Linked DNA regions of Canis lupus familiaris. The protein of the gene in region 2 interacts with the protein of the main gene of each other region in a pairwise test. Links are inferred from orthologs where the notes say so. Each region holds a gene or a part of one and is shown on either strand. Other genes may lie near its edges.

Region 1 (4,755 bases), about 41 Mb from region 2:
TGTCAGCCTGATCTGGATTCAAATCCTGTGGGATAGCAAACCACGTAATTGACCTTTTCATTTCTTTTTAAAGATTTATTTATTTATTTATTATTTGAGAGAGAGAGAATGGGGAAGGGAGGAGAGGAGGGAGAGGGAGAGACAGATAATCTCAAGTAGACTCCCCACTAAGTACGGAGCCCAATGTGGGGCTTGATCTCATGACCCTGAACTCATGATCTGAGCAGAAACGAAGAGTTGGATGCTCAACCGACTGAGCCACCCAGGAACCCCTAATTGGCCTTTTAAAGTCTCAGTTTCCTCATCTGTAAAATGGGGACAGATGATACCCAGTTTATGAGGTTGCTATGATGATCATAGAAGGAGGTTCTGTGCACAAACTAACATAGTGCCTTATGTTTAGCATGGGCCTGTCAGCTTAATGCATGGTATTTACTAGTGGTTAGGGCTTAAAACACTAGAATTGAGTGCTTAGAGTTAGCATTATGCTTATTACTATTACCTTGGCATCTATACATATATTATACCTACCCAACTCTTTACCCATCAGTGTGATTTGTAAAAACTTGTTTGGAAAACATGAGGGTGGTCTCTATGCTGTGTTTATAACTCCACTGGTAACTTCAGGAACTGTGACAAAAATTACACTCAAAGTCATAGGCGTATAGGTTTTATCACAGTGCAGAGGGAAGGGGGGAGGAAATGAGCGGGAGGAAGAATGACATTTCAAAGGCTTAAAATAAATCGCAGCATGATGCATCTTTAGCATAGGTTAGGCATGTGCCTCCCTCTTTAGCTGTATGCTTTTGCAACATTATGCTGATGTAATGAGTAAAAATATTTTGTATTCAAAGCACAGCCTTAAAATGATAACTCTCTGGTGGGACACTAACAAGATGGGGGTCTGGGATCCTGGCATGCTAAGAATTTTATACGGATTATCTAACTGACTCTTAAAAACCATGTGTGAGGTACAGGTTCATATTACAGACGAAGTCCTGAAGGCTCAAAGAAGTGAGAAATGGGCACAGTCACACCGCTAGATGGTGGAATTGGGACCTGAGTGCAAGCAGCTGGACTCCAGAGCTTGTAGTATGGCATGTGCTTTCTCTTAAGGAGGGTAGAGTAGTTTCTATTCAGAGACTCTTTCCTCCGTCTTTGATGATGGTTCGAGAAGAATGTAGGCCTCAGATGAAGGAGAGGCAGACTCTGCCAGGATAGTCTGGCCTCGGGGGAGGTGGGGAAGCTTGGCTTGAGACCCCACAATGGGTCCTCTGAGGTGGTCACTGGCTTTGGTTAACAAATAACAGATTCTCTACTCACCCGAAACTGACCACCATTGCCATCATCCAGCTCCAGAATGTAGCCTTCGGCAGGCACCGTGGACAGAGGTGGCTGTTTCCAGGACAGCGTGGCACTGTTGTTGTGGGTACAACACTCCTCCAGCTGCAGAATGGGGGTTGCTGGGACTGGAGAGGAAGCTAAACAGAAATTAGTGTAACTCTGGCTTCTGTTGAGTTGCAAACATTTCAGTATCTTGGAATGAGAAACATCCCCCTCATCAACCAAGTAGCTAGCCCATGGGGGACCTGACCTGGATCCCTTCCAGAGTTTCTAGGAATGGGACTGGTTCCTGAGCCACTGTGCTGCCTTCTGCCAAACTCATGATGATACGTCCTACCTTAACTGCCGGGGAGATAATTGCTCTGTTTCTCACCCCCTGGGCACTGAAGACATCATCCCTAAGGGGAAGGTATTTTATGGGGGATGGGTTTCCAGCTCAGCCCACTAAAGCCTATTTAACCCATAACATGGCTGAAAAACTTATCATTAAATTTATTCAGAGCCTTGACCTCCAGTGTATAAACTTGGAGCTGCCTATTCTGAGCAGGTTTTTGTTTGTCTATTTGTTGGTTTTACCAGCAATTCTACTCAAGGTCTTGTGCGTATAAGTAGCTGTAACAGTGAATTTTTGAAAAGTTAGTACTAAGTGACATAAAAACAGTGATTTCTCCATAACAAAACTTCTAAGAACTTGACCTCATTCTTTGAAGGTAGCTACGCTAGCTCAAGTCCACTTTCTGCAGGTGTAGAACAGCCAACTGTGAGCCTGGAGAGTAGTATGGGAGCAGAAGGGGCCCAGCAGGGGAGGGTCAAAATGTCCTTACCACTCTGTGAGAATCTGTCACAGTATTACTAGTCACAACATGCCCCTGTCCCCATTTTGTGCTGAGAGTATTTTCTATTACTTCAAACTGTAGAGTGGTTGAGCCTTTAGACACACAGATATGGAAGTGTTGGATAACAACAATCCCAGTTCCTAATCTATGAACTCAATGTATGTATTTGGGAGCAATGTTTTTACCCACTGCTTAACAATTTTTTTAGCACCAAAACATTAATTTATTTCTGTAGCACTTTAACAATAGAGAGAACAGTTTAGACCACATCCAGGGACATTTAAATGAACAAATGTTAATTATAGAACACCTGGTATGCTGTACCAAAATTGGACTCTGTGTCATGCATCAAATTATCTGCTCCCTGCCAAAATCTGCACCTCAGCCAAAAATGGTTTATTTAATAGCAGTTTAGGAAACAGGTTCTATGGTGGATAGCCTAGAAAACAAAAGCAGTGACCATAACACAAGAGATGTGAAGGTGAGGCAGGTTGATTATACTTATGAAAAGACGAGAAAACCAAGCCTGAGTTACTACATCAAACATAATGAAATCAAAAGTATGACCAGTTAATTGGAGGTGGTGAGTTTAGTAAGGGAAATCGTGTTTCAGGTTTCAATGGCATAGAGTTCTGTAGGTCTTATAAGAGTGGCTTCTACAGCCTCAGAGGCTCCCGAACATCTGGAATCAGAGGAAAGCAGATAATTCATTGCTTTGTTCAAGGAATAGACTACAGGACTGGATGGGAAGGGGGGGAGAGAAGACGTAACTCCTAATGATCATCTACTCATAAACAAGATATCACCTGAGAGTTGTAATTGGAGGGTGAACTTTAGGTCATCATGTATTAGGAAACTACTTTGTCATCAACATTTTTTCCCTAATAAAAATAATAAACTTTAATATATTAACCAGGGAGTAAATTATGATAAATTTAAGCAAACCGTTCTTCAAAGGGCTTCTAGAGATGGAATGATTCTCCCTGGGGATATTTGCTCTTAGCTGTCCTTATGAATCAGAGCCTACAATAAAACAACCTATTCCTTGGATTCTCTTTATTTTATTAGCTGCTCATCAATCTTCATTTTCCCTTTATTGGGAAATCTTTATTTCCCTTCATTTTCCCTTTATTTCCCTTCATTTCCCTTTATGTTTCAAGGAAATCTACATTTCATCAATTTTAAAATCAAAGAATAAGATCACAAGATGGTTTCAGCTTGAATCATGCAAATGCTTGCAATGTCTCTGATAAGAAACTCAAGTTTCCTTGTATAGATATTAGGTATAATTAACAGATTAATTGAAATACATGGTGTCAGGTGTAATTAAAACATGGGAACTTCATTTGTAAGTCCTCAGTGGATACACTTTATTTTTTAAATTTTTTTAAAAGATTTATTTTTATTTATTTATGATAGACATAGAGAAAGAGAGAGAGAGAGAGAGAGAGAGAGAGAGAGAGAGGCAGAGACACAGGCAGAGGGAGAAGCAGGCTCCATGCCAGGAGCCCGACTCGGAACTCGATCCCGGGACTCCAGGATCGTGCCCTGGGCCAAAGGCAGGCGCGAAACCGCTGAGCCACCCAGGGATCCCCGTGGATACACTTTAAAAGACCAAAAAGATAATAAAAAGTCTAACCACTTACTGACCTTCAGATTTTAGTACTGTTCAGAATTTAAACAAATTAAGCAAACAAATAAGCAAAATGAGAGAAGGAGGGAGAGAGAATAAGAGAGAGAAACAAAAATGAAGGAACATAGAGACATTTGCATGTCTAAATCTATTTCTCAATGTGCTTAGAATTATTTTTTCTGTTTCCTTATTTACCCCAAAGTGATGTTGCATATAAAAGGCAAGTGTGACAAAATTACAGCCTCATTAGCAAAGACTAAGGCTGACATTTTAGAAAAGCAGATTTTATAGTGGGTGTTATTACCCTATTTCACTTTATTAGGTATAAAATAAATGGTCTATAAGAATCCAGAGTATTTTCAAATTAACTTATTATTTGTGTTTTGGAAATGGATTGCATCACAGTTCCTGGGCTGAACTCTAAGAATTTTTATTTCATTGAAAATTCTGTCATTCGGCTGCCATAGCTGTCTTAATCTTAACACTTTGACCACGCTTGGACGTTTTTGTTTTTCCTAAAGAACTAGTGGTTCCTGACCTTATCAGAAGTCTATTGCTCAGCATTCTTTTAGCTCATAAAAATCAAGCTTCAGGCTAAAAATTCTCTTCTTAGTTATAAGGGTAACTGTTCTTACAGACTTCCTTGAAGGTGACTTTGTAGAGCCTTGGCTCAAAATTAAATTCTGCAATGGTGTCTCCTTAAAGTTTTCAAATGTCTTACCATTCTAGTTCAAATTATAACTTACATCTTTCATAGTCATTTATTTTTTTTTCAAGTCCTTCCGATTGTCAACACTCACAATGATGCAGGATTCCTCTGTGAAAGGTCATAGGACAAGAGTGTGACAAGGACATGGAAGGACACATGGCCACCCACTCTGGACGTGGAAACTAATGGCTGCTGATGTTTTCTGAGCACTTACCAAATACCTGGCAGTGTGG
Region 2 (4,755 bases):
GGCCGGCAGGGGTCACGTGGCTGGAGGGCTGGGCTGCATTCTGTATGTGCTCACCGTGGTGGACCAGCACTCTCTCTGGCTGTGAGGGGGCCGGAGCCAAAGGAGGGGCCCCCGGGAGGAGGGAGGAGGTGAGGTGGCCAGGGGTGCGCTTGTGGCCCCCCAGCACTTCCTGCAGGTGGAGCATGGTGGGCTGCCAAGTGTTCCCACTTGGGATGGGGCTCTCCACCTCTGAGACCAGTGTGCTCTCCAGTTCCACGGAGGGCTCCGAAGGGGGCAGGCGGCCACAGTCTGCCTCGGGTGACCCCGGGGGAGCTGTCAGGTGTGCATGTGGGAGAACCAGAGCCCCGACAGGTGAAACAGTTTGTCCAGGTGGCCCCAGAAATGGCTGCTGGAACAGGCCCCGACCCCACAGACGGACATGTGGGCCGGGGGTCTCAGGCTGCACCTCCTTCCCCACCAGGATCCAAAGCTATTTAGTGTCCTTCAGAACCACACTGGCCTCTCTTCAGTTCAGCCAGGAGAGGAGCAGGAGCATGTTCTTCTTGGATTTCTTTTTTTTTTTTTTCTTAAGGTTTAATTTATTGAGAGAGAGCACAAGAGCAGGGGGGGAGGCAGAGGGAGAAGCAGACTCCCCGCTGAGCTGGGAGCCCCACACGGGGTTCGATCCCAGGACCCTGAGACCATGACCTGAGCCAAAGGCAGCCACTTCACCAACTGAGCCCCTCCTTTTTTTTTTTTTTTTTTTTTTATTCCAGGTTTAGGTATTAGACCCCTAGATTTATTCAGGGGTTGGTTTTCTCAGCTTTTTAAAAATATAGTTGACATCCAGCATCGTCTGAGTGTGATGTGTGCAACACGGCGATCGATGTCTGTGTGATCTGTGTCTGTGAGAGGTCTGTGAGATGCTCACCGTGATGAGGTTAGCGGACACAGCCACCACTCGGGGTCAAGATCCTGTCTTAGCCGCCTCTAGGGTACCACACCATGCGCTCAGCTGTGGCCACCATGCTGCGCATTAGATCCCAGAACTCACGACTACACCCGGAGGCGTGTGCCCTTTGACCTCCTTCACCCGCCCCGGCCGACAGCCACCTATCTGCCGTGTTCCTGTGGGCTCGCCAGTGAGACCAGCAGTGCTTGCCTTCCTCTGCCTGCTGATCCAGCCAGCGTCGTACCCTCGGGGTGTCCTGGCGTCCCTGTTGTCACTCGCGGCAGGACTCGGTTTTTAGGGCCGGGTGCACTGCATCTTCTTCGTTCGTCTGTCAGCAGACGGTACTTCCACGTCGAGGCCACTGTCAGTAACGTTGCCGTGACCCGGGGGGCCCTGCCTTCAGGACCGCAGTCTTCCTTCCTTCAGACACCCCCAGCAGCAGCTCTGGCCTGGGTTGTCGTGGGCCCTCCCTGCTGCCCGAGGTGGCCACCCACACACACTGCGGCTGCCCAGCCTGCCCCGTCCCTAGAGAGGAGCCCCTCGCAGCCATGCTGGCTGGCCCTGCCGGGTCACGTGTGTGTCCACCATCCGTCACCTCCGTGGTCCTCACAGCCGGCTCGGGCCACACCACTTCCCTGGTCCCGCAGGCTCCAGCCGCCATTCTCTCCACGGGAGATGAGTGGGCTTCAGACGGTGGGCCCCTCCGCCCCCACTGCCCTGTTCTAGAGGCTGAGTGCTCAGATGAGCATTCTGTAAAGATTTTCCAGGGATGGTTCCCATGCAAGAGACATTAACTATCGAACTAGCTAACCTTAGTTCAGCAGCGTTTCAAAGGACAGTCCGTGTGACCGAGACCCTTTGCCTCAGAAGAGCAACACCACATCCAAGGACGTTTCCTGAAAAAAAAGTTACACGCTAGGACCAGTTCCCAACGCCAGGGAGGTTGGTTGGTTGGAAGCAGATGCTGTTGGGATGAGTGTTTACTGTGTGATTTTTGTGACTTTGCATCCTACGTAAAGTCCTCGTCACTGGTTTCCCCGAGCCCCGGTTTAGGCAGGGACAGATCCCTCACCAGCGAGGAGCTTGCCGGTGTCTGCTGTCCAGAGCGGGCAGTGCGACCGGAACAGTGACCGTGGCATTGGCGCGTCTGTGTACGAGCTCTCACGTCCCCACACAGCCCCTTCGTTGTACCCCGCGGTTGGGAAGGCTGGCCACGGTGTTCATGAGACCCTCTTGAGGTGGAGACGTGCCACTAGACTCCTTTCAGGGTAGCTCAAGGCTGGCCAGGCGTAAAAGCAAAAAGCTTCTGATGGGAAGAGGGCAGTGCTTGACGCCCGGGCCTCGGCCCTGCGCTTGGAGGCCCTGGCACACCCGCCTGCCTTATCTGTCCCCGCGTGGTGGGCGCCCGCCAGGACCTGCTGCCCTCCTTACCGCACCCTGCCACCCTCTCCAGGATGAAGCCGGTGGGGAGCGTGAATGACGTGGCCTTGGATGCCTTAGATTTGGATCGGATGAAACAGGTGAGTGTGACCTTTCCTGAGAGGCTGTGCAGGAGCCAGAGGCTGGGACCCTCTCATGTCCACGCGGGCAGGCAGGGTGGCCAGAGGTCTGTCAGGGGGCGTCCACGCTCAGCACTGGGCCCCCAACCCCATCAGCAGCAGAGAAGCCTCCCTCTGCCCTTCTGGCCCCCCAGCCTGCTCTGGGGCCGCCCCTGGTTTCTGCAGCAGGACTTGGGGTGGGGTGCCGTCTCCCATTCACTCCAACCTTGCCCTGTGGGGACGCAAATAAGATGCGTCCTTGGGACACACCGCCCCTGGCAAAGCCAGCTTCCTCCACTCTGTTTCCTGTCCCTTCACTTTGAAGCTCTGCTCCCTACAGGAGATCCTCGAGGAGGTAGTCCGAGAGCTCCACAAAGTGAAGGAGGAAATCATCGACGGTGAGTGGAGGGCCTGCCCCGGGACGTCAGCCAGGGTCCCTGCGGGGCGGCGGGGCGGCCCGCCCCCTGGGCTGCGAGGCAGCGGAGCCGTGCTGGCCCAGCAGGGAGACCATCCTGGGCCCAGACGCCCAAGGTCCCGTGGCCACGGTTCTGTCCCTCCTGCTGATCACATCCCCCCCGTTCTCTGGTCAAGCCAACTGAGGCTCAGTTAAGTGACTTGCCCAAGATATGTATGTTCCTGGTGGGGTGACAGCTAGATCTGCACTCACCCGGCTTCCTCCCTGGGGTGAATGTGTGAGTGTGGACCGGGAGAGTGATCCGAGGATGCGTTCCTGAGCAAGACCAGTGAAGCAGCCTGAACGGTGATCCTTGGCTGCCTCAGCATCTGTGCACTCAGACCGCCGTCCCTGAGTCTCCCACCTTTGATCACCGGGTTTGGGTTAGGAGGGCGGCTGCTGCCTTCCTGGGGGTGGGGGTGGGGGGGTAACGGAGACCAAGAAGCTCCGGGACGACCTGTGGGTCTGACACAGTTCCCAGCGGGCCTGGCCTTGGGCCGGGAGGGCAGGCATGTGTCTCCCGCTCCGAGTGTTGAGTGTCGGGCTCCCGAGGGCAGGGCCCTTGCAGTGGATCACATCCGTCCTTCCGGTTCCTGCCAGAGCCTTTGATACACTGGCTCAGGTCCCAAGCCAGAGGAAGAGGAGAGGTTCAGGCAGAGCCGGCTGGCCCCGGGAGCAAGCAGAGAGGCGCAGCTTGGGCCCCCCACCCCACCAAGCCTGGGCCTGGCCCCCGAGGCAGCAGAGGGGACCCCGGCAATGAGCTAAAAGGGGTGGGTGCTGGTGGCAGGCGGCTGGAGAGAGGGGAGGCCAGGATGGGAGCCTGCGTGTGGGGCCAGAGATCCAACCCCCTGCCCCGAGCTGTGAGCACCGCGCCCTGTCCTTGCCCCAGCCGAGAACTGGTGTTCCTGTTTGTCCAGTCCCCCCCGCAGGCCTGGGATGGGCAGATAAGGAGTTAATGAATGAAGAGCGAGGCTCAGCTGGGAGCCAGAGAGGACACAGGCCAACTATTAACTCCGCTTTATTGCTGGGGGCCCCGTCTGGGAGGGGCCGCCAGCTGGCCCCGGGGCCAGAGCCCGTGGGCGCCAGAGCGGGGTTGCACAGCCAGGCTGGAGGCTGTGGGGGGGGGGGGGGGGGGGCAGCTGGGGCGGGTGCCGCAGGCCAGGCCCGGGGGGAAGCTGCCTCGAGGGTGGACCTCCCCTGAGGCCGGGGCAGCACGGGCCGGGGCTCCGAGGAGCATCCCCTGGTTGGATGAGTGCCCAGCACTTGGCTCTTTTGGCTCCAGGCCCGGGGGCGAGGGGGGTCTGTCCCCAGTGTCATGGTGAAATCTGTCCCCGCACTGCGGTGTCTGTGTCCACGTGGTACTAAACGCTCTCCCCCAAGTGTGGGGAGAGGGGTGGGGTCGGGGGGGCCGGGGAGAAGACGAGAGGCAGCGCTGCCAGGACAGTCCCCCTGCTCAAGGCCGGGCGCTACCTGCTGCCGCTGCCGGAACCAGGGGCCACCTGCCCGAGCGGCTCACAGGCCCCCACCGGCTCGGGGTGGCAGGCAGGTCGGGTCGCCCGCAGGGCTGTGCTGCCTGGGGACCCCTGGGTGCGGCGCCCAGGACACGGGGCCGGGCACAGCCCAGAGGCCCCCCCGGGGGCGCGGGGACGGGGCGCCAGAGAACCAACAGGCCCGCCCTGAGCCTCCCTGTCCGCCCCGCAGCCATCAGGCAGGAGCTGAGCGGGATCAGCACCTCGTAGCGGCCTGGCCCCGCCGCCGAGACGCCAGGCCAGGCCCGCGACGGCGGGGGACGGCGCACGCAAGCTCGCGCTGGAGCCGGAGGGGCTTCGTTT

The links.
Region 1: the proteins of EVL (region 2) and TRIM9 interact in binary tests that used the Homo sapiens proteins (3 or more experiments, as listed by UniProt). The two-hybrid records come from large-scale screens. The link is inferred for Canis lupus familiaris from reciprocal best matches to the Homo sapiens genes EVL and TRIM9.

Annotation. Positions count from the first base shown.
Region 1 is NC_049229.1:27,611,961-27,616,715, forward strand, and holds part of TRIM9 (E3 ubiquitin-protein ligase TRIM9), read right to left. Parts: intron 1,482-4,755; coding exon 1,324-1,481; intron 1-1,323. UniProt on the Homo sapiens protein: E3 ubiquitin-protein ligase which ubiquitinates itself in cooperation with an E2 enzyme UBE2D2/UBC4 and serves as a targeting signal for proteasomal degradation.
Region 2 is NC_049229.1:68,866,929-68,871,683, forward strand, and holds part of EVL (ena/VASP-like protein), read left to right. Parts: intron 1-2,384; coding exon 2,385-2,451; intron 2,452-2,809; coding exon 2,810-2,867; intron 2,868-4,624; coding exon 4,625-4,662; 3' UTR 4,663-4,755. UniProt on the Homo sapiens protein: Ena/VASP proteins are actin-associated proteins involved in a range of processes dependent on cytoskeleton remodeling and cell polarity such as axon guidance and lamellipodial and filopodial dynamics in migrating cells.